Linked DNA regions of Diceros bicornis minor. The protein of the gene in region 2 interacts with the protein of the main gene of each other region in a biochemical or structural test. Links are inferred from orthologs where the notes say so. Each region holds a gene or a part of one and is shown on either strand. Other genes may lie near its edges.

What was found.
Region 1: the proteins of GIPC1 (region 2) and RGS19 form a complex in vitro, tested with the Homo sapiens proteins (2 studies listed by BioGRID). The link is inferred for Diceros bicornis minor from reciprocal best matches to the Homo sapiens genes GIPC1 and RGS19.

Annotation. Positions count from the first base shown.
Region 1 is NC_080758.1:167,458-182,169, reverse strand, and holds the start of RGS19 (regulator of G-protein signaling 19), read right to left. Parts: upstream 5,458-14,712; 5' UTR 5,414-5,457; intron 5,273-5,413; exon of another isoform or gene 4,836-5,272; intron 2,299-4,835; 5' UTR 2,231-2,298; coding exon 2,201-2,230; intron 2,004-2,200; coding exon 1,882-2,003; intron 655-1,881; coding exon 580-654; intron 486-579; coding exon 251-485; intron 170-250; coding exon 1-169. Other genes in the region: protein LKAAEAR1, read right to left, coding at 9,149-9,208, 9,290-9,409, 9,669-10,073. UniProt on the Homo sapiens protein: Inhibits signal transduction by increasing the GTPase activity of G protein alpha subunits thereby driving them into their inactive GDP-bound form. Binds to G-alpha subfamily 1 members, with the order G(i)a3 > G(i)a1 > G(o)a >> G(z)a/G(i)a2.
Region 2 is NC_080769.1:3,389,449-3,403,882, reverse strand, and holds the start of GIPC1 (PDZ domain-containing protein GIPC1), read right to left. Parts: upstream 8,109-14,434; 5' UTR 8,059-8,108; intron 5,905-8,058; 5' UTR 5,850-5,904; intron 4,834-5,849; exon of another isoform or gene 4,617-4,833; intron 4,336-4,616; 5' UTR 4,249-4,335; intron 2,402-4,248; 5' UTR 2,373-2,401; coding exon 2,085-2,372; intron 1,253-2,084; coding exon 1,067-1,252; intron 983-1,066; coding exon 802-982; intron 81-801; coding exon 1-80. UniProt on the Homo sapiens protein: May be involved in G protein-linked signaling.

The DNA.
Region 1 (14,712 bases), on a different chromosome or scaffold from region 2:
AGCCCCCCCGGAGCAGCAGGGTGCGGTAGGTGGGGGAGCTGAGGAAGCGGGGGTAGGAGTCCCGGTGCATGAGTGTGTAAATCTGCAGCTGCGCGTCGTCGAATGTGTGTGCAGATGGCTCCTGCATCTTCTTGTTGATGCCCTCCCGTACCCGGGAGTCCAGGCTCACCTGTGGGGCAGGGCACCATGGTCAGGGTCCGGGAGGCGCCCCCCACCCCTCCCGCAGTCCCTGCCATCCCATGTGGCGCACCTCCTTGGGGGACAGGATGGACACGTAGTCCTCGTAGATGAGCCGCGCCTTCTCGTCCACCACGTGCTGGTTGGCCTCAGCCTTGAGCTCCTCACAGGCCAGCCAGAAGAGCATGTTCTCCTCACTGTACTCTGTGCGCAAGAACTCCCGAAACACACTGCGGCCTGCCGCGCTGTGCATCAGCTTGTCGAAGGACTGCGCCCAGCTCCGCACCTCCTCGGGGCTTGGCGTGGCGCTGTGGGCATTCGCCGCCAGGCCAGGTCAGGCTCGAGTCCCCTCCGCCCAGACCCCCCAGCACACGCACGTGCACGCACATGGCCCAAACTCACCACGCCTCACAGCTGGGGAGGGGCCGCAGCTTGCTCTCCCGGGAGGCACGCCACGCTCGCCGCCGCTCCTCATTCCTGACGGCAGAGAGGAAGAGGGCACTGTGCTTCTCGGCCACGCAGACAGGCAGGTGTGCGCACCCGGTGAACACTGACGGGTGTCAACAGGAGGCCTAGGGGCTCTCAGACACGTGTGAACCCGCCGCAGGCAGGCAGCTCCTGGGAGTGTCTGTGCCTGCTGTCCACTGCCCCTGGGCCGAGGCCGCTTCAGGAGCACGTGACCCGGGGACCTCTACTGTCTTGTTGCCTTTGGGACTTGACAGGCCCCCGTCCCCTTCTCCCAGAGGCCCTGAGGGATGCAGTGGGAAAGCCCCGGGCCGCATGTCTGATCCCTGACTCTCCCTAGGGGACCTCTTCCCTCCCTTGGCTCCTAGCACTGCTTCAGTGCTGGCTCCCAAATCCATACCTGCAGCTGGCCCTCGCCAGGGCCACCAGGAGATACCCCAACAGACACCTCAAATCCAAAGGCCCAGATGGAACTGAGTTCCCACCCTACCCCCGCCTGCCAGACTCCAACCCATTCCTTGGCCCCTACAGCCAAACTCGAAGTCCTGGCTATCCCTGGCCTGCCACCTCGACCCCCAGGGCCCCACTGCCGTCTCGGGCCTGGGCTCAGGCCTCAGCTACTCGCTGGTCAGCTGACCCCACTTTGGGTCCCCACAGTGCTGTCCACCCCATAGCCAAGGGCCAGAGCCTGAATAGGACCAGGTCTCTGCAAGGCACGAAAACTCCAACAGCTTCCCTGCACGCCTGGAAAACTGGTACCACCTGGAGGCCCACGCCCGCCCTCCGGCACACTGCTCTGGAAGGCGGTCCCCATCGTCCCAGGGCCCGGTCTCTGCTCAAGGCCCCGTCACTGACAGTCTGTAGGATCCGCTTCTGTCTTGCTGCACTGTAGGTCCCCAGGGCCAGCCTGGGCCGGCTCACAGTGGTGTCAGTAAGCATGTGCTGAGTAAACGGACAACGAGTGTGCATGCACACACACACAGGAGTGGCCAGGTGTCTGCACACGGACACACTCTTGGGCACACCAGGCACAAAAGACACACACAGAGGGACCTGTGCACTGGCCACTGGTCACCAGGGCCCAACAGCCCCCCTGGACAAGCGCTGAGAGTGGCAGGGGTGTCCTGCCTGCAGGTGCCACCTCAGAAGCCAGCTGAGTCTGGGGAGCAGGACCCCGGTCCCAGGTCTGCTGGCCCGCCCCGCCCGCCCGCGCACCCTGCACCCCCAGGCCTCACGTACCAGGAGCAGCTGCAGCAGCAGCACCAGCACAGGCAGCAGGGGCTGCGGCTGGCGGCAGCCGGGGGGGCCGCATCATGACTGGACATTGAGGGGGGCTGGTCTGCCTCCTCTGGCCCTGTGAGCTGGGGGAAGATGGGGCCTGCCTCAGGCTCCAGGCCAGAACCCACGGGCACACACACCTCTCTCCCACTGCCTGCCTGCTCGTGGCCACACTCCCAGGGGCATGACCCTTCCGGCCTCCCAGATGTTCAGGGGTCTCCTAACGCCCTGTGGCCCCCCAGTTCCCCAGAGGGCAGAGGCAAGGGTGGAGGAGGCGCACCTGCTTCTCAGCCTCATGCGGGGTGGGCATGGGTGGGTGGACCAGGTCACCCGGGCTCTGTGGTGCTGGCTCCGGGACCCTCACCACAGCCTGGGAGTCTGAGGAGAGAAGGTGAGGTTCTCGCTGAGACCTGGGACCCAGCCCCTGCCTGCCTCTTGGGAGGGGTCCCGAGAGCCTCTCCCTCCTTCCCGGAGCCCCGGTGGGGCCTGCTCCCCTGCCTCCCACCCCACCCCACCCTGCACCATGGCTGTGAATGGGTGAAGCTCAGTGAGGAGGGACCCCAGATAAGATCCCCCACAGGAGGTTCTGGGACACCCCCATCTGCTCGTCCCTGGGAAGCCGGAAGCCTGGGTTCCTCTTTCTTGGTTTCCGGCTCCTGGCCCCTCCCAAGGGTCTGAGGGCCCCCCAAATCTGGGGCTATCAAGTTGGTATGTAGGGGTGGTGGTTAGACATTCAGGACCCCCCCCACTCCCCGCCCCAGCTCCCTCCATCCTGAGTGTCCTGAAGGTTTTCTGTTTGGGAGACATGGGTAGGATGCTCTCCACCAGGAGTCCAGACTGGCCTATGGGCCCCAGAGGATTCCGACCTGTTCCCTGGGCCCCGGCCAGGGGCAGCGGACTGGGCCTGCAGCACGGAGGATTTGAACGGGACTTTGGCATGACCTCCTGAGGGTGCGGGAAGTGGGGCAGCGCATGGGGGAGGAGGGCCATGAGCCTCCCGGGACAGATGGCTCCTCGGTCCTGGACGCTGCCCCTGGCAGCCCCTACCCCTACCCCCAGCTGGCAAAGTCTCCCGTCCTCCCCTCCCTTCCCCCAAGTTGCGGAAACCGCGGCGCGCGCGCGGAGGCCTCGCAGCAGGGCGGGCGCGCCTGTCGGGGGAAGCGGGGGCGGCGGCGGGCGCGGGCGTCCGGCTCCTGGGTAGGAGCTGGGGGGCCCTGCGCGGGGCGCGAGGAGTGCGTCCTTCTCCGAGGCCGCGCGGCACCCTCCGCGGTGGAAGCGCGTGGGGTCGCTGACGCCCGAGCCGAGCAGCCGCCGCGCGCCCCCCGCAGGTCCCGGAGTCCGCGCGGGCGGGCAGGCGGGCGGCCAGTCGGCGCCCTGGAGGCGGTTTTGAAGCCTCCCCACCACCGCCCCTGTCGGCGCCCACCTGGGCCCAGGTGAGGCCCACAGGGCCCGGGGTGCCCCCTGCACGTCGGGCACGCGGACCTTGCTGAGCCCCCGCCATATCTCACCGGCCAGGAGGCTCACGAATTGCTTTTACTTTATTTTCTCATTTCATTATCCTCCTTGCTGCCCCCCATTTCTCAGCTCGTGGCCTGTTAATCCCTGTTTGGTCCAAGTTGGCCTCTCGTGGTCTCCAAGGGCAGGAAGGTGGAGGCGGATGCGCTATGGCAGGCCCTGCAGCCACCGCAGGGCCAGGCGGCCCCTGGAGCAGGGATGCCAGCTCACTTGGGGCTCTGGCCAGGTGCGGCGCCAGGACGAGCATGAGGGCATTCAGAGGAGACAGCGCCCGAGTTATGCACACTTAGGGCACCCTGCCTCCAGGGCCTGGGCACCAGAGGCCCCTGCCCTGACCCAAATCTGGGGGCAAAGTGCAGGGTCACCTCAGGCCTTGGCCCTCACCACCTGCCTGGCTTCCCCTGAGGTCACGGGGGACCTCAAACTGGGTCCCACCGGCTCCCATCGAGCAGATGGGGAAGCAGCAGCCCCACAGCACGCCTTCCCTCAGGGGTCAAGTTTCTAGGGAAAGGAAGGGGTGTGGCAGCCTCTGAGGTCTGTAGCTGTGCCCCAGACGCTGTGACTTCCCCAGGCAGATCTGCTCTTCCTCCTCTGCACCCCACCCACTGTGAGTGGGGGCAGGGCCTCAGGCCCCCAGCCCCCTGGAGACTATACCCCGTCGGCTGCAGTCTCCAACCCAGCCCTGAATTGGAGGAGGGGGCCGGTCTGAGGGTGCAGGGCCCAGGTGCTGGGGCTGAGTGTGGGGCAGAGGAAGGGCCAGTCCCTTCTGTCCCTGCATCTCAAGCTGGCTGGGGCCACCCGTGCCCCCAGGGCACCCGCTCTCTCCTGGGGAGTACAGAGTCTGACCCAAAGTCCCTGCCCCTCACCCTGGCACCCCAGAGGGCCTCCTTCCCCTCCCCAGCCCCTTCAGGCTTTGGGCCCCAAGTCTGGGGTGGAAGAGGCAGGACAGGCAGCAAGTTTGGCCTCTAGGGACACAGGCTCCCTCGGGAGCGGCTGCTGCTCTGCTCCACAGAAGGAAAAAGAACGTCCCCGAGCCCGCCAGTCCAAAAAAAGAATAAGAAAATGTGACAATCCCAGAAAAAATGCTGTCGCCCTTAGGAGGGGGTGGCCGGGGGCTCCATTTCCTCCTGATCCTACTCAGTACCCTTCCTACATGCTGCCCACCCTCCCCAGCTGGCTGGTGGGAGAGCCCCAGCCTGGACCCTCCAAGGCAGGCCAGGTCTTCCTAGCCCTGGTGACCCTCACCCCAGCCCACCCCTGCAATGGTGGGGTGACCCGCTTCTCTCTCTCTCCCTCTCTCTGCTGGCCTGGAGGAGCCTGTCTCCTTCAGGGGCTTCTTCCTCTAGGCTCTGGCGCCTCCACCCCTCCCTCAAGGAGCTCGCAGTGGCGCTCCCACTCACCAGCGACCCAAAGGCAGGTGGGGGCGGAAGGGGCCAGGTTCGTTCTGGGCCCCACCCTGGCTGCCGAAGGGGCGTGCACTGCAGCAGCACCGACTCAAGTCAGACGGCAGGAGGAACTCCTGCGACGTTCTGGAGGCAGGCCGGCGCCGGGAGCCCTCGATCGGCTGGGGTCGGGGGCGCAGCGCTTCCCCTGCGACTCGCGGGGCTGAGCCGCTGCCAGATCCAATGGGGTGGGGGCGGGGGCGGGCCGGGTGTCCTGCCTCGGCCCCTCCCCACCAGGGGGAGGGGGGGCGGGAGACGCGGAAACCTGGGTTCTTCCGGGCCCCCCCTTTGAGCAATCACTTCCCCAGGCTTTGCGCTGCAGAAAAAGGGGAACCCGGTTGCAGCGCCCCCTCCCCCACGCGCGGGGGGCGGGCTCCAGTCCCGCCGCGGCCCAGGGTCCACGTGGACCCCGCGGCGGGAGCCCTCGGGGTGCGTACCCCGGCGCCGGCTCCCGAGGCTCCGGGCCCGCATGGCCCCAGGGCCCCGGGCTGGGAGGGGCAGGGCCGCCGTCCTCGGCGCCGCGCGCGCGCACTCACCGGCCGCGCTCCCGAGCCTCTCGCGCCGCCGCCGCCGCCGGCCCGCGCGCTCCGAGGTCCGGCCGGATGGTCGAGGAGCGGGCGCAGGGTGCAGTGCGCAGGCGCCTCGGCCGCACTTCCCCAAAGCGCGGGGCCGGGACTTCCTCGCGCGGGGAGGCGCCCGGCCCGCCCAGCCCCGCCCCGCGCTCGCCGGCTCCGCGCCCCACCGCCCCCTCCCACCGCCCCGCCCGGTCCCGCGCAGGGCCTCGGTCCCCCCGGTCGCTCAGGGTGGCCCGTGGAGATGAGGTGCTAATAATGGGGCCTCTGGCCCCGGGGCGGCCTGAGCTGGCACTGTAGTAGATGGGGGTGTGGCCGTGCCCCCCACTCTGCTCAGCGAGGCCATGCCAGCTTTGCCATTCATGTGGGCGTCCACGAGACTCCAGTCCAGGGCGGGGGCACGAGAGCCCTCCAGACTTCGGCGTCCCGATGTGCTGCTGGCCCCGCCATAAGAAGAGGCCGCCGGAAAGGACTCGGATGGTTCCTCGGCCCGGCCCTAGCCTTTCTGAGACGAGGTGCCCTCATGGGTAAAATGGGTTGAGAGCGCTAGTATCGTGCGGTAGGGGCCTCCCGAGGAAGGGGTTCCTGTGCTGCGGCGCGGTTGGATGCTGGGGTCCGGGTTCCTACATCTGGACTCATCGAATGTCCCTGTCCGTGAGGCCTGGCCTAGTCCCTTCCGACTCCTCCAGTTGCCCCAAGATGTCCTCAAGTTTGAAGCCACACCCTCCCCTTTGCCACGAATGCCCTGTCCCTTCTCTTTGGCCCACTCTCCTCGTATTTTATGACCCGGTACAGCTGTGAGTTAAATTCCTTATCCCAGTATGCTTTGGGCCGGTGTCGGAGAGGCGCTGACCATGCTCTGGAAATGGCCTGCGGCATGTCAGGGTCCCCCTGGTCCCAGGTCAATGCAGCTCCTGTCCCTGGTGCAGGGGCTCAGCCTGGTCACAAGATGCCTTCCAACTGCAGGTGTGTGCACGTGTGTCAGAACTCCTCACCACATAAGGAGAAGGGACTGCACAGGCCCTTCATTCATTCAGCAAGTATCCGGGTGTCCCTGTGCCAGGCAGTGGGGCCCAGCAGTGAGCAAGACAGACCTGCCCTGGAGCAGAGGAGAAACAGAGGCGGGCTGAGGGGTGAGGAGGGCTGCTGACAGCCGCAGGGCAGGAGGGAGGTATCATCGCGCCGCATCTTCGCTCAGCAAAGGATGGGTAGCGCAACAGCAGGGCAGGGCCTGGGGGTGGGGGCAGGCTGGAGGAGAGGGGCAAGGTCAGCGAGGTGAGAAGAGACAGGGCAGAGGCTGGACGCCTGTCCAGACTGGAGGCGGTGGCTTCTTATGTAGCCTAGATAGCAGTGCTGAGAGGTAGGTCCCACAAAGATGGGCCAGGACCTGGTTAAGGTCACATAGCCAGTTCGACACACACCACAGCGCTGGGTGTCTCAGCTCCACCCACCTCCTGAGAAATGTGTGGGGCAGCTGCCGTGGCGGGGGGGTCAGCACACGTCTCTCTCCACCCTAAACCCCCTTCCCCCCTCCTCCCTCCTAGCCCTCCACACAACATCCCCTCTCTGGCGACTCCCCATATCCTCTGGCCACTTGAGCCTGCTCTCCATTCCTCTTGCCTCAGCCCTTCTGGGTCTTTGGTACCTCCTCTGGGGAGTCTGTCTCTGCACAGAGCATCCCTGTATTCCACAGGAGGAACCTAGGTGGGCTGGGCAGGAACTCTTTCAAGGCGACGCAGCACATAATGCTGGAGATGGGATCTGAACCCAGGACCCTCTAGCCAGAGCATGAGCTCCCAGTCCCGAGGACCCACCTGATCCCTCACAACCCCAATGCATTGGGCCTTGGCCCACATGCTTTGCTCTCCCATAGCAGAAGCCTCCTCTAGACCCCGCAGAAATGTCCTCAGCCACTTTCCCTGGTCTCCTCTGCAGACCTAGGGACCCCTCCCTGGCATGAGGATCAAAGGGCACCCATGTACCAGTTCGAGGTCTGGTGCAGAGCAGCCTGTGAGCCCAGCTTCTTGCTGGCCTTATCCTCAGGGCTTGTGCATCTGTCTCGTCCCTCTGTCAGCTGGTGCTTGCCTGATGCAGAGTGACCGTGTGGGGTCACCGCGTGGGGCACAGTGCCAAGTGAGACCCACAAGACTTTGATTTTAAAGATGAAGAAATGGAAGCTCAGAGAAGTGATGAAATAAAGTGTGCTTTACTAAACAGATGAAATCATCCTAGGCACTCGGTACATCCCCCAGAGGCAGAATGCTGGGGTCCAGACTGCCCGGGGCTTGGCCAGGGGCCAGGGCTGGCTGTCCTCCTGTGTGTCAGGGTGCAGTGGCCACCACTCCTGGACAGGGAGACTGCCTCCCCTTCCCTGTCTCTCTGTCTTCAGCCCAAGCCACCTTTTCTCACCCTGTTCCTCCTCCCCCTCCCTGCCTGTAACCCCACCCCCCAACCATACATAGCTCTCCCCTCCCTCCTGGAGCTGCCAGACTCCAGCTCCACACGTACTTCTGGGCTTGGATCAGGGCCAAGGGCAGTGACAGCTCAGAAAGGGCAAAGGGTCAGGTGCAGGGGGAAAGGGCTTGCTGAGGGCACAGAGAGCCCAGGTCCCCCTGCAGCTCTGTCCTGCCCTGAGCCAGGTCAGGGAGGGCACCATCTGTCATGATGCAGGATTTCTTGTCAGACCCCAGCTCTGCCCTCTGCCAGTAAAGAATGCACCCCTCCTGGATCCCTTCTCTGCGGGCTGACTCAGCAGGAGCCCCCTGGCAGGGGACGGGGCTTGGCTGAGTCCCTGCAGCCCCCACCACTGCAGCCACGGGCTGGGAGGGGCTGGGAGCGAGGAAAAGGCAGAGGCGCCCTAGAGAAGTCCCAGACTCTGCGAAGAGTCTGTGTTGACGAGAAGAGTCAATTCTCCAAGGGGAGACCTGCCCAGAAACTGGGGAGGCTTTTCAGAGCCCAGAGGGGGTGCAGGGCAAGGGTTTGTTAGAATGGGACAGGGCCGGTTTCCTTCCTGTCCTGTGTGTGAATATGTGTGTGTGTGTGGTGGGCCGGTAAGGGGGGCGGAGGGGAGCAGAGGCAGCCATTCAGAATTGAAAGGAAACCCAGAGAGTGATTTTCTGTCTGGGGCACTGGGGCCTCCCTGAGGGGTCTCCCTTCCCCAGTCTCTTGGTCCTCTGGAGGACCTCCTGGGCAAGGCTGATGCCCCAAAGGCCAGCTTTGGCTTGTGCAGTCACCCCCCGCCCAGAATATTACCCTCTTCCCTGATCCCCTGATGAAATGACCTGCAATCTGGCGTCCCACTTGGGCTCCACTTTCTCCTCAAGCCTGCCCTTACTTCTGGGGCTGTGACTGTTGCCAAGCCAGGCTCTACCTCCTGTGCCCCCAGACTGGGGGCCCTCGTGGAATCCCAGGGCACTAGGTTGCCTGATGGGGGCATCCCAGGATTCGGGAGATTAGGAGTGTCTCTGTCCTCTGTTAATCTGATGCCCGCCTGTCCACCTGCACCTTCCTGCTTTGTTGGAGGAGCCCCATGCTGTGTACCCTGATGTCTGTGGCATCGGATGGGGGAGAGGCAGCATCCATACTCCTCCTTCCCTCCCGGCGAACCTGGAGAGGGGGAGGGGAAAGAACAGGGGGCGCCTGGAGAACGAGAGCTTTATGTGGGAGGGTGGGGCACGTTCGCGCGCTGTGGGGTCACCGTCAACGCGGGAAGATGCTGCCATCGACTTTCTCCTCCAGGATGGTCTCCACGCGCCTCCGCTGCGGGGGAGAAGGCTGGGGCCAGGTGTGCGGGGAGGCGGGCGGGGCCCCCTCTCTGCCCCTTCCCGGGCTGGCAGGCACCTCTTGACGGTCCAGGGGGTCCCGGATCCGCGTGGGCTTCAGCGGCGGCAGGAACAGCTCCAGCCGGATGGCGGCGCGCGCGGACTTCTGATGCAGAATGAGGAGCGAGATCTCCTCCGCCTGCGGTCCCGGGGTCGGGGTTGTTTCTGGGCCTCCGTGACGTTTTGCAGAGCACCCAGGCGGGCAGTTGCCCCACTCCCCGTCCGCCTCCACCCAGCCCCCTCCCGCAGGGCATCCCAACTGGTACCCCCCTCCGCCCCGCGTTTGATCCGTCTGCACCCCGCCCCTTGCCTCACGGGGGCCGGGCCGTTCTGCTCTCCTGGCCTGCCCCCCAACCTTCTCGCCTTTCCGCCCCCTCCCTCCGGCCCGCTCGCCTCACCCGCATGCGGGTGTAGCGCAGTCGCAAGGCGCGGACTCGGCCTCGGGCCTCGGCTGCCTTGAGGACGCCGAGGAGCCGCTCCTGGCACTCCGCCGGCTCTAGCGGCTGCGTCCACGCGCGCGGGTCGGGCATCCGGTACCCCAGCTCCACAGACTCGCGCGGGAAGATGGAGGCCGCCGCGCCCACGTCCTCAAGCACGTCGCCGAAGAGCAGCTGGCGGTGGCGCTGCGCGGGGGGTGCGGCCGCCAGCCCCTCCAGCGTTAGGGCCCAGCCGGGCTTGGGGGGCTCTGGCGCGGGCGCCCCTTTGGCGCGCTCCTGACGGAACCCTGCGTCCTGTGCGCCCTGTCCCGCTCGCTCCCGCGGGACTATGCGCTCCCCCTCCGTCGCCGGCGGCGGGGGCTGCATCCTCGGCCCTGCCCCCTGCCGAGGGAAGAGGGCTTCCCTTTGGTGCCCAAACGGTGTCCGTTGGGCACCTGCCCGCCCCTCCGGCCTGGCCCCACCGTGCGCTCCCAGCTCCGGCCGCTCTGGACTCCCCGCAGCCACATTTGCCAAGCCAAGCACAGTCCCCATCAGCTCAGCCTCCCTTCTCGGTCCTGCAGGAAGCTGTGACTTTCTGACCCACTCAGCTTTTCAAGAAATTCCCTTCCTGCCCACGGTCTGTTTCTCTGTCACTGAGAAAATGCAGAGACCTCTGGGCTGACCACGTGAGACTGCTCTTGGGGAGGGACCCTTCCCCGTGAGGCTGCGATCCTCACTGTGCTCCAGTCCCCGACGGGTGGGGTCACCGGTCAGTCAGCAAACCCCACCCACCCTGGAACCCCAGGGACTGGTCTGGTCTAGTCTGCCCCACATTGGCCTCAGGGCCCTCTGCTTTAGTGTTAGGGCCTGGAGATGGAGGGGTGGGCCTTCATTGTGTCCTGAACTCATGTCCTTCTGGGGGATGCATGTAGGTTTGTCTGTCTGTGTGTGTCTGGATGTTCTTGTGTGAGTCAGTCTGTGGCTGTGGGCGGTCTCGTGTGTCTGGGGCTCAGAGCTGAATGGACAGCTGGCTTGCTGCAGGGGAGACCCCATCTTCCTAGACTGTCCCCTGCTGGGTCTAGATGGAGGAGGGGAGAGCAGACCCCAGGGAGGAGGTGATAGAGGGGAGAGGGTCGATGAGGGGGAAAAGGGAACCGACCCCAGGGGGGTTCCGTCCTCAGGGCTCCTCCCTTCCCCCAAACCAGCCCACAGCACCGCAGACCCCAGACCCTGGGCCAGGTTCTGGCCCACTGTGGGCCGGGGGGCTAGAGCCACAGTCTAGGTTTCTGCTGGCGACAGCGCCCCTCCCCCCCAATCCATCCTTAGCTACTGTTATCCAGGGCCTGACCCTTGTCACCACCCCCTTCCGGGCCCCACACCCCGTACATCATGCCTTTTTGGTCTGAGCCTCCAACTCTGGCCACTCTCTGGGGCTTGTTGACTCGGTTGCCCGGCAACTGGGAGTCCTGCCCCTCCCCAACTGATGGGGCGGGGCGGCCGTTCCAGAGGGGCGTGGGCAGAGCAGTCCAGGTGGAGGGCACCAGGGTCACCTGCCCCAGCCCCTCTGGGCTGTTGAGGACCCTGGAGGAGGTGACCGCCAGATTTTCCTGGGTGCTTTCTTTCCTTTTTGGGGAGCCCAAAAAGAACTCACCATGTGGTAGCGCAGTGTGGGGGCCAGTGGCGGCCCCAACCTGGGTTGCATTGTATCCAGCAGGACTGTCTGGAGGAGGTGACCTGCTAGGTCAGCCTTCCTAAGCCCTCAGTGCTTCTTCTGGCACCCAGAGAACTTCACCGAGCCCCCACACTCTTCTGGGGGCTGTGGGCCCAGCTTCCTGGCTGGAGAGGTCTTTGGGGACAAGTTTTGGGGGCAAGGGGCGCAGCTATGAGGAGACTTGTGACTGAGGGCCTTTCCCCTCTGCATGGCCCAACAGGTGCTGGGGTTCACAGAAAGGGGAAAGTGGGGCAGAACTCAGGACCCTCACCTCTTCCAAGGCAAGTTTCAGGCCCCAGGGGCCCCACCAGACCAGACCCAGGTTTTGCTGAACCTAAATCTCTGGGTCCTGGGTTCTAGATTTCTGTAATCTATTTGTGTATTCATTAATTTCATAATCTTTTATAACTAATTCACTTTTTAATTTATTAGTTCTATAATTTATTCATAAACTCAACAGTTTATTCTAGAATTCATTAATTCGTGTGTTCATTCCACAGTTTACATTAGGCCAAAATTGGTGCACTAAATCCATAATTTGTTAATGTATGGGTGCCTTCCACGGCACACACATAACTCTCCCCTTTACTCGTGAATGTGCCCCTGGGGCCGATGTGGGCGCTGGGGCCCATAGATGGTGTCTTTTGGGAGTTCAGTACCTGAGCCCTTGAGGTGGGGCCATCCTGGTTTTGGGGGTGGGGTCTTAGCCGAGGTTTTGGCCTTTCTGCAGGAGGCTGTTCACTGTTCCCACTGTTGTGGAAGCTTGCTCTGGCCTCCTAGTCAGAGGGTAAACTATGCCTGTGCTCCCCCATACCCAAGCCTGCACCATACCCCCGAGCTCCACAGAATGACTGTCCATCCTTCCAGCCCCTAAGCCTTCATACAAGTTGTTTCTTGGAAGCTGCCCTGTCCCACTCTGCGTGCACCTTTGGGGTGTGGCCTGGGCCTTGGGATTCAGCACCAACCTGGAGGCTTGTTGAAGATGAAGTTCTCTGGGCTCCAGAAGAAGCAGTGAGGGCTTAGGAAGGCTGACCTAGTAGGTCACCTCCTCCAGACAGGCCTCCTGGATACAATGCGGCCCAGGTTGGGGCCGCCACTGGCCCCCACTCTGTGCTCCCACACGGTGAGTTCTCTGAGACGGGGATCTGGGCGCTCCTCTCAGCCTCCAGGGGTCACACAAGAGGGGGGTGGCTTGCTGGCTTCTGGTGGTGAAGTGGGGTTACAGAGGGAGTGGGGGCACACTCTCTTGCAAGAAGGGACTTGGGACTTTCCCTCTGCTTTTGTAGGACTGAAAAACTTTGACACTTCCTCCCTCCGTAATTTCTGGAGGGCTTGGTGCCCACACAGCCCACATCCCTGAGCATGGCTTCTTCCTGCTTCTCCACACACCTGTGGTTCCACTGGGAGGGCAGCTGTTCCCTGTGTGTCTGTTGAGGCCCAGCAACTGTGAGGCACCACCAGGCAGGTGTCCTCCATCTGTTTCTGAGTCCAGGATTCGTGTGTTTTTCAAGGGCCAGTGGAAGTGCTGAGATCTAAAAGCACGCTGACTGGGGGTCCGGCCCGGTGGCCTAGCGGTTAAGTTCGCGCGTTCCTCTTCGGTGGCCCCGGGTTTGCCGGTTTGGATGCTCGGTGCGGACCTACTCACCTCTCATCAAACCATGTTGAGGAGGGGTCCCACATAGAAGAGCTACAGCTCTACGACTATGATACACAACTATGTACTGGGGCTTTGGGGAGAAAAAAACAAAAAGAGGAAGATTGGCAACAGATGTTAGCTCAGGGCCAGTCTTCCTCAAAAAAAAGAAAAATTAAAAAAAATAAATAAGAGCATGCTGATTGGTGCCAAAGCCTGAAAATAAACTTCAAAATAAAATTAATAAGCTTTATCAAATGGCTACAAAATTTAACATTAAATTGAAAATCTACAACTCAATTCTCTTGTTGCTGTATATAAATATTATGAAGTTGAAATCATAAGAACAAAATAATTTATTGTGATGAAATTCAGAATTATTAAAAATTCTGAGTTTCAGTTTCTTGACAGCACAAGTGGTTGAGTGTGGCTTGGTGACTGAACTCCCCAGGGGACGGCTGTTGTGTGAGGCTGCCAGTGACGATGCTTTGATTCCTGTGCCCAGCCCAGGGGTGGTGAAGCGTGCAGAGCGGGGAGCGGACAGCACGCCTGCCCCAGGCGGCAGAGCTGGCGCTGGAGTCTGCCATCCGCCCTGTGAGGCTCTGAGTCGTTGGGGTGAGAGTGGAGTGTGTTTACCGCAGGGTGTGGGTGTGAATCTCATGCTGGGACCTGGGTCCTGCCCCAGATGCATCTGAGTTCCGATTAGGGCGCCGGTGGGCTCCGACCGTAGTTTGTGTTCTGTGCTATCATTCGCAAGCTGTGTGTCTCGGGCCGTCCCTGTGTCCCTGCGTGTTCTGTTTTGCCTACATATGACGTGTGTTTGAAGTTGTCCTACTTTGACCTAAATACTCGCTCATATAACACGTGTCCTCTGCTGTCACATGTGTCCACGTGTGACACATATGTTCTGTGTCTTACTCTGGCTGCTCAGGGGTCAAGAGAGGCCTAGACCATTTCCGCTCAGGAGTCAAGAGGCGTCAGCCCCCTTTGTGGGTGCCCTCCAGTGTCCAGGGCTGGGCTGCTGCCACCCCCAAGGAGTGTAGTCAGCATCCTGGCCTGGCTACCCATCAGCCAGGTGACTAAGCCTGTCCTTCAGCTGAGACTGTGCCTGTGAGGGGCCAGGTATCGGCCTCCAGCTGTCCTGTGCCGGCTCTGTCAGATGCACTCTCACAGGGTCTCTGTCCAGACCGTAACTCACGTCCAGCCTCAAAGCCACCTCATGGCCCATCCCTTTCCCCAGCTGAGGCCTGCTGGGCTGGGAGGCGACTAAAGGCCAGTATGAAAAAGCCCTCTCGGCTGGCGAGCAGGTGGAGGCACAGGCAACTGGGTCAGGAGGGACTGAGGTTGGCTGGTCAGGCCTGGGGGAGCCCAGCTCGGGGAGGCTACAGGAGGCCGAGCCTCCCTGGGTTCCTGCCCCTGCTGGGCTCCTGAGGTCAGCAGGAGGTGCTTTGAGCTTTGTCTGCAGAGTATGGTGCACGCGTCTGTTCCCTGGGCGTCTGGGGGCCTTGATCTGTGTGTTTTCCTGTTCTCTTGTGTCTACTCACGTGCCTCACGTGCACCTGTGTGTGTGTGTGTGCACACGTGTTTGTGCGTCCCTGTGAGTGTCTGTGCATTTCTGCGTGTGCACCCATGTCTGTGTGTCTACCCGTGTGCCTGCTTGGGCATCTTTATGTTTGTTTGCG
Region 2 (14,434 bases):
GAGCCGGAGGGTCCCTCGGCCAGTGCCCAGCTGGGGGCCGGCGCCAGGGCGGCCACCCCCGGAGCGGGCGCTGATCATGTCTGTGGGGGGCAGGTCAGGGAAGCACAGTTCCAGCACACTCTGGGCAGCAACCCAGGCATCCCAGCCTCAGACACCTCCCACCTTCTCCAAGCTTCTGCAAACTCCGGGGAAGCTGTGGGCTGAGGTGACCCCAGGAGGGCAGCAGTCCTGACTCGGGGTTGGCACAGGTGTGGGAGGGGCAGCCAGGGGCTGGGAATGGAAAAGGCTGGAGGGAAGGCTGGAGAGACCACTTCTGCTCCCAGCTCCTGAAGGATGGGTGTGGGGCCTGGGTCTCTGCTGTTCTCCCCATGGCCAAGGGGGTACAGCTGCTGGGCCGTGGACCAGCCCCACCTGCCTGGGGAAGTGTGTAAGTCCTCCACGCCCACCCAGGGGCCTCAGGCCCATTCCTGAGGGTTAGTGAAGCCAGAAGGAAAAGTCGGGGTGCTGGCACAGGGCAGCCAAGCCTGGCTTCTCAGGGCTGGGGGGGCGGGCCAGGGTTGGGGGCACTTGGCTGAGCTAATGTCTCCTGGAAGCTGGATGTGGGGGCAACTTCCTCCTTGCCCCCGTCCTCCTCCCAGCTGGGCGGGCAGCCAGCACTGCCTCCGCAGGGCAGGGCGGGGCTGCCCCCCCTTTCCACTGCGGCCGGCTGGGCTTGGGCGCCACCTGCTGGTGGCCCCTGGCACTGCAGCCTGGACCCAAGTGAGCAGAGCGATCATGGCGGTCCAGGGGGCAGCCCCTCACCAAAGGCCTTGCGGGGCTCCGTGAGCTTCAGCGTGAAGGTGCGGCCCCGGGGCAGCTCCTTGAGGAGCCGGGCCACCTCGTAGTGCCGGCAGCCCAACAGGCTCTGCCCGTTGATGGCCTCGATCATGTCGCCCACGCTGATGAGCTGGATGTGGTCAATCACGCTGCCCTCCTTAATGCGCTGCGCGAGAGGAGCTGTCAGCCCCCGGGACTCCGCCCTTGGGTCCCCCCTCAGGACTCCGAGTGCCCCGTCCACCCCAGGCACCTTGATGAAGGCGTAGCCGGCCCCGTTGTCCGTGATGGTGAGCCCCAGCGCCTCCTCCGACTTGAACACCTCCACCTCCTTGCGCTGTCCCTTGACGTGGGCAAAGATGAAGTCCTCCAACCCGATCTGGCCCCCCAGGAGCTTGTCCATGTCCACTTTGTGGGTGTTGAGGGTGCAGAACATCACCTGCAGCGGTGGGAGGCACTCAACCCTCACCTCCCTCCTTGAAGTTGGGGAGGTCTGGGGATCTCCACCCCCGGGGCCTGGGCAGGGCCCCCAGTAGGATGTCCGCTCTGCTAGTACTGGGATTTCTGTCTTAGCAACAACTGCCTGCTGTCTCCAGAGCACAGAGCTGGCACACGTGGGCGCTCGATAAATGCTGCGGGATAAATGAAGGGGTGCAGACATCCATCCGCCTGCTGAGACCCCTGCATCTACTTCCTGCTCAATCCCACAGCCACCCTCCTCGCCTCCCTTCCTTCAGCCCCCAAAGTCCTCAGGGTCAGGCCTCTCGACGCATCATGGAGAAGTGAATTTTACATCTGATCTCCAGCCCCCACAATCCCCCGGGGCGCAGGCCTCCCAATTCCTCATGGGAACTCAGGCCCCAGCCCTGGCCGCCAGCCCCCACAATCCACTGGGGCGCAGGCCTCCCAATGCCCGATGGGAATTCTGCCCCCAGCCCTGGCCGCCAGCCCGCACAACCCACTGGGGCACAGGCCTCCCAAAGCCCGACAGGAGCTCAGCCCCCAGCTCCCACAATCCCGCGGGCGCAGGCCTCCCAATGCCCGCCCACAATCCACTGGCGCGCAGGCCTCGCAATGCCCGATGGGAGCTCAGCCCCAGCCTGGCCGCCAGCCCCCACAATCCACTGCGGCGCAGGCCTCGCGATGCCCGATGGGAGCTCAGCCCCAGCCTGGCCGCCGGCCCCCACCATCCCGCGGGCGCAGGCTCCGCACCTGCAGCGCCCCGAGCCGCAGCCCCCCACCAGCACCCCGGCGCGCGGCTCCCGCGGTACCTCGGCGGCCGGCAGCCGGAAGGCCTCGGCGATCTTGCCGTAGAGCTCCTTGACGTTGCTGAAGCCCTCGATGCGGCCGGTGGGACTGCCGTGGGCCAGCTGCGTGTGGAACACGAGGCGGGGCCGCAGGGCCGCGGGCGGGGGCGGCAAGCCCATGTGGGGCCCCCCTGCCCCGCCTCCGCCCAGGGGCCCCGGCTCCCCCACGCCCAGGCCGCCACGGCCGGGCTCGGCTTCCTCATTCTCCACCAGAGGCGGCGCCTTTTTCCGCCGCCCCAGTCCCAGCGGCATGAGCGGCGAGCGGAGGATGCGCCCGAGATCTGCAGGGCGGGAGAGGGGTCAGGCCGGCGCTCCCACCGCAGCGCCCTGCAGGCCCGCGGAGCGCTCCGAGCAGAGCGGCTCGTGCACACCCGGCCACACTCACACAGCGGTACAGGAGGTGCAGCGCCCGCTCCGTGCCCTCCCGTAGTGCGCACACCCCGTGGCGATGTGGGACCGCATGGTGCCATGATTATGCCCATTTCACAGATGAGAACATGGAGGCCGGGGGCGCTGACGTTTGTCTTTATTTTTCTGTCGGTCATAGTCAGTAGTGCTATGCATAAAAAATTTCTGACTGTGCCCCTTCAAAGCATGTGGGCAGATGGACTCAGTGACCTTGTGACTGACAGGCGTCTGACCAGTCCTGGCCAGTGAGCTGTGAGAAGAGGGGACATGTGACATTTCTAGGCTGAAGTACTTAATTACTGGAGAGACAACCTCCAGAGGGCTATTTCTCCCTGGCACGTGGACCAGCTACGTTTGACATGCTGGCGGCTCCAGAAGGCCAGGCCCTGAGTGACTGCAATGAATGCAACCTCCGCTGAGCTGCAGTGGACACGGAGCAGGAACAAAAAAGAAACCTGCATTGAGTTCAACCACTAAGCCTTTTGGGGTTGTTACTGCAGCAAAAGCTGTCCTGTCTGATACACTGCAGTCTTTCCTCTCCCCCCACTCTCCCTTCAAACAAATGTGTTTTGGGTGCTTACTATATTCCATGCACCATTTTTGGTACTGCCTTCAATAAGTTAAGCAAGGTCCCTGACTGGGGCCACCATGTGCAGTTACGGAGGTTGTTCACTATGCAAAAGCACCACCCCCTGGTGTGGTGATGTGTCTGCTTGAAGAAAGGGCTGCCTTTTTCTAAGTCACTTCTAGGTGCTATCTAGGCTAGCTGGGGCTCTGTGCATGCTGTCCAGAAGCATGCAGTCCAGAGCGGAAGATGCACAGTGAGCAAGCAAACGTGTAAATGTCTAATGTAATTTCTAATAATGTGATGGAGACAATAAAACAAGACGAGTTCTACAGATGCGGTCAGGGAGGGCCTGGCCTCTCTGAGCAGGTGAAGCCGAACCTGAGACCTGCACGTCAGGAAGACTTATCCATATGAGGATGTGAGGCAAGAACGTTCCAGGCAGAGGGAGCAGCCAGCACAAAGGCCTTGAGGTGGGGATGTGCTTGGCATGTTGGAGGAACAGCAAGGAGGCCTATGTGGTTGGAACAGAGTGAGTCAGGGGGGCAGCAGCAGGAGGCGGGGCAGGGAGGGGCGGGGCAGAGCGAGCAGGGCCTTGTGGGAGGAGGAAGGACTTGGCTTCTGCTCTGAGTGAGGTGGGAGCCATGGAGGTTCTGAGCAGACTCACAGATGAGCGAGAGAGCAGGGCGCCAGAGGGGAGTGAGCAAGGGAGAGCGTCAGGAGGGAAGGGAACAGCAGCGACCGGCCTTCTCAACTGGAAAGAGTTAAGATGTCACTTTTAAGTCACAGGTCCAAAGTCACAGAGACAGGCTGCACCCTCAAGTATGTCTGACTCCTAAGTCCAAGGCCGTAACCACAAAGCTGTCCCCTAAGCGCCTGGGCCTCAGGTGCCTGGTCTGCAAATGGGGACATTCCACCCACCCAGCTAGGCTGTGGGGAGGATCAAACTAGGCCAAATTCTATTTTTCTGTGTCTAGGGGACTTCCTGCTCCTTCCCTTCAGATCACCTCTTCCAAGGGGCCATCCTGGATTCAGTCCAGCCCAGTGGGCTGCATCCATTCTCATGCCTCCATTCATTCATTCATTCATTCATTCATCCACCTGCTCTCCAACATCTCCAGTAACATCACCTGGTCCGGCCCCACGGTCACTCACCTAGACTAGTGCAGGCGCCTCCTCTGGGTCTCCCAGCTCCTGCCCTTGCCCCTACCGTCTCTTGTCAACACAGCAGCCAGAGGGAGCCTGTAAAACATAAGTCACGTCACATCTGTACTGTGCCCTCACTCCTCCCAAGGCTCCTACCTCACTCGGAGTAAAAGTCAATGTCCTCCCCTCAGCCCACAGGCCCCAGAAGATCTGGGCCCATCTCCTGCCTGCCCTCGTCTCCTCCCACTCTCCCCATCGCTCGCTCCCTCCAGCCACATGGGCCTCGTCCCCGTTCCTCCAACACACTAGGTCAAGTCCAGCCTCAGGGCCTTTGCACTGGCTGTGCCCCCCGGCATCCACACAACTCCGTCTCTCACCTCTTTCAGGTGGAATATATATTTCATTCATTTATCTCATTCATTGTCTGTTTTCTGAAAGGGCAGGGAACCTTGTCTGTCTTATTCATCCCTATATTCTCGGTGCAGAGAGCAGTACCTGGCACACAGCGGGTGGTCGATAAATATTTCTTGAATGAATGAATGGATGAATGACTGATCCTAATGTTCACCAGCCCACCAGTCCCTGTGCCCGGCTCTGGGGAGATAAGGGGTACAGGCTGTAGTCACTGCCCTCAAGAGGGTCCTGTCTCCCCAGCAACAGCATAAGCCCTACCTCTGGGGTCCCCCATCCTTTGCCTCCCAGCATCATTCCGTGCACAGGGAAGGTGCCTCCTGTAGCCAGGAAGACAGGGAGCGTCTCTGTCCTCTTTCATTGTGGTTTTGTTTTTCATTCCCCTCATAATCAATGATGCTGAACAACTTTTAACACATTTATTAACCGTTTGGATTTGCCCTTTTGTGAACTGCCTGTTTAAGTCTTTGCCCATTTTTAAAAAGTGCATGGTCTGTCTGTTTTTAATTGCACTGCCCATCTTTTTTTCTTATTGATTTGTGGGAACTCTTTACATGTACTGGATACTAGTGTTTCATTGGTTACCTCATCTCTCTATCCATAGCACCCAACACTGGATCTAGCACACAGTAGGCACACACCGAATATTTGACAACATTTGAATTCTGAATGAATAAACCAGTACTGCTCCCTCAAGTTATTTCATTACATTCAATGATGCTAAAAAAAAAACCTCACCATCACCTCCTCTGGTTCCCCTCCCCCCACCCCCCATATATCTTAGCAAGATGCTAAGAACATGAGTCTGGAACCTGACTTCTCCACTTACTAGCTGTGTGACCTTGGGCAAGTGTCTTAACCTCTCTGAGCTCCAAGGAAATCAGGCATGGGCCTGGAACAGTTCCTGGCACACAATAAGGGTTCATAAATATTGGTGATTATTACTACTATTTCCATCTGTACCATCTTTCAATCAGCTGCCAAAATTCAAACTTCCTCTTTTTCCCAGGGCCCACACATTCTGATCACCAAGTCCCAACCTCCATATTCTGCATCTACTTGCTGCCTGCTTCAGGCTGGCTTCTGTGTCCCCACTTGTGAGGGGGCATAACGGTGGTAAGAAAAGTGGATGATTAATGAATTTGCCCTCCAGGCCACAAGAGGCAGGGTGGCCTGGGTTGAGACCCCACCCCACTTACCAGCTGCGTGGCTGTGGGCAAGTCACTTCACTTGATGGGGCCTCAGTTTCCTCATCTGAAAAATGGGCAGAATTCCTGTCTCTCAGGGTGCATATGGGAATCCAAAAAGATTATGCATTCAACTGGATTAGCACTTTGCTTGATATTCAGTTTAAGGAAGCTGTTATCATTATTGTCATTATTATTATTGCCTCCTCTCCTGCCCTGCCCAGGAACATCCCAGTCCTCTCTGCCTGAGAAGCCCTACTCCAGGCCACCTCCTCCAGGCAGCCTCCCTGGCTTGCCCCAGCCTGTGGGAACCGCCCCTGTGGTCCCGATGGCTTAGGCCCATGAACTTAATTACAAGTTGCCCGGGCAGGACTCTTGTCTTCCAGTCTTAGGCTGTTATTTAACTTCATGTCTCTATTTTAAAACATAAACCAGATCGCGTCCCTCCCCAGCCTCAAATCTTACAATGGTTTCCCACCTGACGGAGGAAAAGCTCTGGACTCCTTGTGACCCAGAGACTTCGGCTGCATCTCCCACCCCAGGCACGCTACTCCAAGCTGGGTCCGGCCACAGAGCCTGCGCCCCAGCTGTGCCCCTGCCTGACCTGTGCAGGGCTGGCTTCTTTTTGTCATTCAGACCTCGGCCCCAAAGTCACCTCCTCTGAGAGCCCCTTTGCCCACACATTCTCCCAAGGCCCCCTCATATTTTATTCAGAGCACTCAGCACTGTCTGCGGGTACCTTTCTTATTTACTGGTTAACTGCTGTCACCTGTCCCTCCCTTCCACTACAATGGCAGCTTCCAGAGAGCAGGGATTTTTGTCCCGTTCACTGCTGTATCCTATGTGCCAAGAACAGTGCCTGGCCCATTGTAGGTGCTTAATCAACATTGTAGAAAGAATGAATGTCTTATGTCCTCATTCTGACTCCTCCCCAAACTCCTCTATCCTCAGCACACAGCAGCCTGGAGCTGCTAACCACCACGCCCTCCGATGCTCCCAGCCTCCTCTCAACCCCGCAAGCAGGGATGGAGAAAGGAGCTGCAGCCCGGCTGAGCTGGTCGGCTGGAATTCCAGCACCCCCACCCTCTCTTCTCCGGAGGGGCTGGACACTTAGTAACCCCACAGCCACAGTGAGGGCAGCAGGAGGAGGGGAGGGGGTTCCTGGGAGGTCACAGAAGCCGGAGGAGGGGGACACCATGCCCAGGCCCCCCTTTCCAGTTGGGTACTGCTTTGGAGGGGAGGGCGGGAGGCCTCTGATTCACTCTTGAAAAACCGGCTCCTGGGTGTTTCCGGGGAGAATGCCTACTGCCTGGCCTTGGCCCAGGCTTCCCAGGGGCCCAACAGGCACAGGACCCCAGCGTCCTGGCCCCCTGCCTATCTCCCCTGAAGCTGTCACTCTCTTCTCAGGACCTTCTCGGCCTTGCCTCTTCGGCTCAGGGGAGAAGGGACATGGGAGCAGCTTCCTGTTTGAGCGGCTGGTGTCTGGTCACCTCTGGGGGAGGGAATCAAAGACCAGAAGGTGTGGCCCAGATGGTGTGTGTGGTTGTGTGGGGGGAGCTGGCCAGGAACACCTGAGCCAGGGAGCCACGGGGCATCCGCTCTAGTGGTTGAGACTCCAGTTCTGGACTCTGAGGCATGGGTTCGAGTCCCAGAGCTGCCGCTTACTAGCTGTGTGCCCTTGCGCCAGCCACGCCAGCTCTCTGGGTCTGCTGCTTCACCTCTGGAAGAAGTAACAGCACCTTCCACGAGGTGTTTAGATTCAGCGGCAGGCACGGTAAATACGTGACAGGGAAATGTTGAATAAATGCTAGCCGGGCGGCTGTTTCACCATTATTATCGGGACCTCAGTCCTGCCCAGGCCCCCTCAGGCCCTGGGGCACTGGGACGCGGCCAGCTCCGGGGAGGCACCCGGGAGCGCTCCGAAACGCCGACGCCGCGCCTGTCCCCGCCGGGACGGGGACTGTCCAGAGGGACGCGGGCGGCAGGGGTGCGGCCGGAGACCGCATCCCGGCGGCGGGGGGCGTTTGCCCGCTGCCCCCAGCGGGAACGGAGGCGCCCCGCCGGAGGAGGCCTCGGGCATCCCCGCGCCCGGCCTCGACCTCCCGCCGCGTGCAAGGGCCGGCCCCACCCGCGCGACCGGCCGGGCCCCCGCGGTGCGACCCCGCGGTCCGCGCGAGGGGCCCCGAGCCGCCGCGCCGCGCTCCGCCCGCCGGACACTCACCTGCGCCGCCGCCCTGCGCGCCCCGCTCGGCCCTCCGCAAACTCCGGCCGGGCCTCTCCCGCAGCCGCGGGGGGGCGGGGCCGGCGCCCGCGCCCGGCCAATCAGGAGCGGCCGCCCGAGCTCGCGGCCAATCGGCGCCGCGCCGCGCCTCCGCGCCCGGGTGGGCCCGACGGAAGCATTCCAGAGGGATCCCCGCCCGCGCGGCCCTGCCCGCCCCCCGCGCGGCGCAGTGGACCTTCCCGCCCCGCCTAGGCCGCGGCGGGCCGTACCACCGCGCGGCGGAGGGGGAGCTGCGCCGGGCCGGCCCATCGCGGGGAGGGAAGGAGAGTACGACCAGTGGGAAGCTGGGGCCCCTGACCTCGTGCTGCCGGCTGAGCGTCCGTCTGGGGTGACTGGGGGGTGAGGGGCGAGGGACTGGCCGTGGGAGCCAGGTGACCCAGGCTGAGCCCCGGGGAGGGGATGCGAACTCCGGAAGTCCGGAAAAGCGGACCCTTTAGGAGACCAGCCCCTAATCCGGTCCTCTGCCGGGCCTGCCCCTGCCCCAGCCTGGCCATCCTCGGAGCGGACAAAAAGAGGCATTCATTCCAGGCGGGCGGGCCGGGGACGAAATGAATAGGAAGGGTCCCGAGTGTCCCAGCTTCCTGGGGTGTACAATGGACAAGGGCATTCATTCATTCATTCATTCACTCATCAAATATTTAATGTGCCCCTGCTCCGTGCCAGGCTTTGTCCTGTCTCTAGGGACACTTCAGCGAGTAAGCTGAAGATGCTCCTGGTAGAGGGAACAGTGCCTGCAAAGGCCTGGAGGCCGGATGGGGAGATCCAGCGTGCTTTAGGGTGGTGCAATATCGGAGGAGCTACCAAAGAAAGGGTGCAATGGAATGGGGGACAAGGGCGAGATGGCCTGCTCACTTGTTGGTTAGACCAGCAAATACTTACCGAGCACATGCTATGTGCTAGATTGCAAAGGGTACCCAGCTAACCCTAGCCTCCGCCCTCAGGGAGGGGACCCTTCATAAGTCTGTCTCCTCCATCTGAGTGTTCCCCCCGCCCTGGTCCTGAGACTGGCCCAGAGCCGGGTCTCAGCACAAGTGTGGATGAAAGGACCAGGTAATACCACCTCTAGGTTTGGCTTGCACCTGGGATTTCTCAGGCAGGAACACGTCCAAGAAACAAAGACACGAATGCACCTCGCCCAGGCCAGGACTCTCAGTTGCCAGGACAGGTGAGATTTCCTTGTTCTGGTTCAAAGCCAGCCACTTGGGCAGCTGGGGCTGGACCTGGAGTTCGCTGTGTGTTCTGGGATTTGTAGTTCCTGGAGGCCTCTAATTGCTGAGAACCTGCTCAAGCCTCATTGAAGGACTGGGTCTTTGTTGTCCCCAGAGTGAGCTGCTGTGCACCCCAGCCGCGCCAGGGCCTGCAAGAGTGCCACGTGAGGTGGGAAAGTGGGCCTTGGGCTGAGCTGCTGAGGGCTGCCTGGCTGGCCCCACCCAGCTGGCAAACACCGTGCCTGCCATGGCAACAGGCACAGCCATTGTCCTTCTCTTCCTGTTCTGCTGCCCTCTGCCTCCTCACTGAGCAATCAGGTGCCTGGGCTGGGCCAGAGCCCTGTGTGGGACTGCCATTGCCCTGCTTGCCCCTGATATCTGAGCTGCTCCTGCACACCTGGAGAGGGCAGCATGGGAGGCTTCAGGGCAGCAGAATCTTGAGCCTGAATCCACCTTGACTGATGAGGAAGTGCCGAGGGAGGGGTGAGGGGGTTGCCCAAGGGCACAGAGCAGTGCCAGGCACTTCCTACTCGATTTCATAGCTCAAGAGGCTGCCTAGGGGCCGGCCCGGTGGTGTAGCTGTTAAGTTCAGGCACTCCGCTTCGGCTGCCCGGGTTTCCCTGGTTCGGATCCTGGGCACAGACCTATGCACCACTCATCAGGCCATGCTGAGGCACCATCCCACATAGAAGAACTAGAAGGATGTACAACCATGACATACAACTATCTACTGGGACTTTGGGGAGAAAAAAGGGAAAAAGGAGGAAGATTGGCAACAGATGTTAGCTGAAGGCCAATCTTCCTCACACACACACACATACACACACACACAAGAGGCATGCCTGAAAACAATGGGGAAAAGGTACCTTGGAAAAGGTACCTTGGAAAAGGCAGAGTGGATGAACCTGAAGTCAGAGAACCTTAACCAGAGAATTAAAGTTGCCATCACCAGTGATGGGACAGGCTGTCCTCACGTGCCCCCGCTGTGTGTGATGTACTGAGGAGGACACAACATCCTGCCAGAAGTGTTTAACCTGAGGAGACAACCAGACACGTCCTGACTGAGGGACGTTCTGCAAAAAAAACTGACCTGGACTCTTGAAACAGATCTGTGTCGTGAAAGGCAAAATCTAGCCATTAATTTAATGAATGAATGGATAAAAGGCTGGGGAACAGTTCTAGATTGAAGGAGACAAAAGAGAGATGACAACCAAAATCAATGTATGATCCTTTTTTTTTTTTCTTTTTTTTGCGAGGAGGATCAGCCCTGAGCTAACATCCATGACAATCCTCCTCTTTTTTTGCTGAGGAAGATTGGTCCTGCGCTAACATCCATGCCTATCTTCCTCCACTGTATATGGGATGCCGCCACAGCATGGCCTGACAAGCGGCGCATCGTACGCGCCCGGGATCCGAACCCGAGAACCCGGGCCGCCAGCATTGGAGTGCGCGCACTTAACCACTAGGCTACGAGGCCTGCCCCAATGTATGATCCTTAGTTGGATCCTTGATAAAAATTTCAAAAAAAGATGAAACACTACAGAAGGATATTCTTGGGATAATTGGGGACATTTGAATGTTGAGTGGATATTAGATAATAATATATCCATGTTAAATTTCCTGAGTGTGAGGACTGTGCTGTGGTTAGGTAAGAGAGTGTTCTCATTCTTACGAGATACACAGTGCGTTATTTAGAGGTAAGTTCGTGATGCCGGCAACTGTCAAATGCTTCAGAAAAAGAAATATGTATGTATGCAACATTTTATATACACTATGATAATATGGTATACCTTAGTATTAAGATATAGGGAGATAGGGCCGGCCCCGTGGCTTAGCGGTTAGGTGCGCGCGCTCCGCTGCTGGCAGCCCGGGTTCAGATCCCGGGCGTGCACCGACGCACCGCTTCTCCTGCCATGCTGAGGCCGCGTCCCACGTACAGCAACTAGAAGGATGTGCAGCTATGACATACAACTATCTACTGGGGCTTTGGGGGGGAAAAATAAATAAATAAAATCTTTAAAAAAAAAAAAGATATAGGGAGAGAGAGAGAGAGAGAGAAAAAAATGAATGTGGCAAAATAGTAACAATTGCGGCTGAATCCAGGAGGGTGGTATATGGGTATTCATTTCAGTATTCTTGTAAGTTTCCTATAGCTTTGAAAATTTCAAAATAAACATTGGAAAGAAGTACCCCCATTTCCCTCCCATCCCCAGAGGCTGCCATCCAGTGGCTTTAATATGCACTGTTTTGTTTGTGTCTTTCCTTGAAAATGTGCATGTTCTGTTATATTTGGCTTCTTACTTTTTTTCCACTCAGTACTGTATTGCTTGTTTAGTTGTTTGCTTGTTTTCCACTAGGCCTTGAAGATCCCTCTGTATTGCTAATCTCTTGAATCTGTTTTCTTCTAACTGTGGCTTGGTGCTCCATGGAACTCCATGGAATGCATCCCTCACATCTTAGTCCTCTGTCCTCCAGGGATGGACACCAGGCAGCCTCCAGCTCCCCACGCCACAGTGAACAGCCATGGACCTGCCCCCTCAGGGACCTGGTGAGACTCTCCACAGGAGAGAGACCTGAATGCAGAGATGCTGGGGCACAGGGCACAGACCATTGCTCTGTGGTCCCCCAGGCTAGCTGCCCTTGTCACACCCACTGGCAGTGCAGGAGGGTGCCATGTCCCCACATCTCTGCCAGCCATTCTAAATTTTGCCACTCTGACTCACTGTCAAGTGATGTCCCCATTGCTTTATTTTACATTTCTCTGATTTCTGATCACTTGGAGCATCTCCTCATTTCCTTGACGGCCTTTGGATTCTCCTCTTCTGTAAATTGCCCGTTCATACTCTATCCATTTTGCAGTGGGGGTAGCTGTGTTTTTCTTGTTGATGTGCACGTGTTCCTCACAGAGTCTAGATCTTACTGTCCAGTCTGATCTAACACAAACTCTCCCCTCTCCACACGTGGTTACGGAGCACTTGAAATGGGGCTAATACAAACTGAGATGTGCCGTAAGTGTAGAGTACACACTGGATTCTAAGGCTTATTAGAAAGAAGAGGACGTAAAATATCACATCTCATTAATTCTTTTTTATACTGATTATATATCGTAATAATGATAATGTGGATGTATTGGGCTAAAGTGTATTATTCAAATTAATTTCACTTGTTTCTTTTTACTATTTGAATGCGCTCCTAGAAAATTTACAACTTGGTATGAGCTTGCATATTCTACTGGATAGCGCCGGGATACTGGGCCCTGGCCAGTTTCAATAATGACAGAGCTTCCCACGAGCCAGACGCTGTTGTAAGAAATTTATATTTACTAAACCGTTTAACCCTCCTAATGACCCTGTGAGGTGGGCACAGTATTAGACATTGCAAACATATTCCCCCACCGTTATGTGACGATTTGCTTCACCCGTGATATCCTTCAATGGGAGGAAATTCTTAACTTCAATATAATTGAACTTATCCATTTTGTCATTTGCACCCGTGACATTTCATTAAGGAGGCCTTTTCCACCCTTAGATCACAACGTTTTTCTTCTATTCATTCCCTGGTTTTACTTTTCCTGCATCCTCATTCCCTCCCTAGGCCCCCTCGGGGTGTAGGGTAGGACGGTCACATCTCTCCGTAACCTGCGCTGCTCACAGCGCACCCTGGGCCCCCATGTGCCTTAACCTCCTCGTCTATAAAGCAGTGATCAGAATGGGACCCCCCTCCTAAAGTGATTATGATTGTCAAACACCTACAGTGGTGCTGGGCAGATAGTGAGTGCTCAGTGAACAACAGCTGGTATTATTAAACTGTGTTGAGGGCACAGAGATGAATAAACACAGTCTTTCCAAATAGAAACATTATAAAAATAGACCCCTTTATTAAGCCCTTACTGTTCCAGGCCCTGTGCTGGCTGCTCTTTAGGATTAATCCCACTGGCTATCGCCCCCATTCTAGAGAGGAGGAGACAGGCTCAGAGAAGGGGAGCCACTGCCTCAAAGTTGCACAGCAACTCATGGCTGTGGCACTTGAGCTCCAACCCCAGCACACGTGACGTCCCTCTGGAGGTATGGGTTGCACTGTCCTCAACTTGAGGCCTGGCCCTGAGATGTGGGGGACAGGGCGGATCGAGGAGGGAAAGTGCCGAGGGACATCATCCGGGCCACAGTGCTCTTGGAGTTTGATTGCCTGGCTTTTTGTGGTCGGGCTGCTTGTATTAGCCTGGCAGGACTGCACTCTGCGGGGAGGGCCTGGAGGGGATGCAGGGCAGGTGGCCCTGACGGGGCTGGCTCCTGTGGCCCCAGGTTTCTGCCCCAGTGCGGGCGCCCTCTGAGGCTGAATTTTAGGAAGTCGTGATAAAACCCTGCAGCAGTGCTGTTTTCTGGAGGGCCGACGGGCGGCTCTCCTTTCCAAGTACATCTCCAATCATCTCCCTCCACTTCCTCGGCCCCCACCTGGTCCAGCCCCAGCATCTCCTTCAGGACTTCTCCCTGACGCCTGGCTCCACCCTTGCTCCCCGCCCAGGTCTGCTCCCCCCATGGCGGCCAGAGGGCGCCTGGGAGCCCCCAGTCAGCTCTTGGCCTTCTCTGCAGACGACCCCCACCCAGGGGCCATGTGGCCTCCAAACCCCCTTCGCTGAAGTGTTTCATCTGGAGTCAGGCCTGGCCACGCTGGGGTCCAGCATCAGCTTCCCAAGGGAAGTCAGGCGCCCGTTGAGACAAGCCACCCGGGTTCCAGCTCCAACTTCCAGGCAAAAGCACATCAGGCCGCATCCCTCCTGACTCAACTCTCCCAGCTGGCTTCTCCCGCGCCTGGGGCACTGGGCCTGCCTCGGCAGGGCCCTGACGCCTGGCCTGTCTCACCGTGGGCACGCCCCACCCTCCTCTCTCCTGCTCTCTCTCTTCCGCCACGCCAGGCCTTGGGGCCTCACGCTCCCCAGGCCGGCCCTGCTCGCTCCACACCCATCCTCTGCCCAGGAGCCCCATCCCCAGGGCCTCAGCTGCAACGGCTCCTCTCTGAGCCCTGACAAGCTCATGTCTCCTGGCCTGCATGCCGGGCCTGCCAGGCCTCCTCTCTCCAGGCTCTCTGGTCATGGGAACTGCCTTGACCCC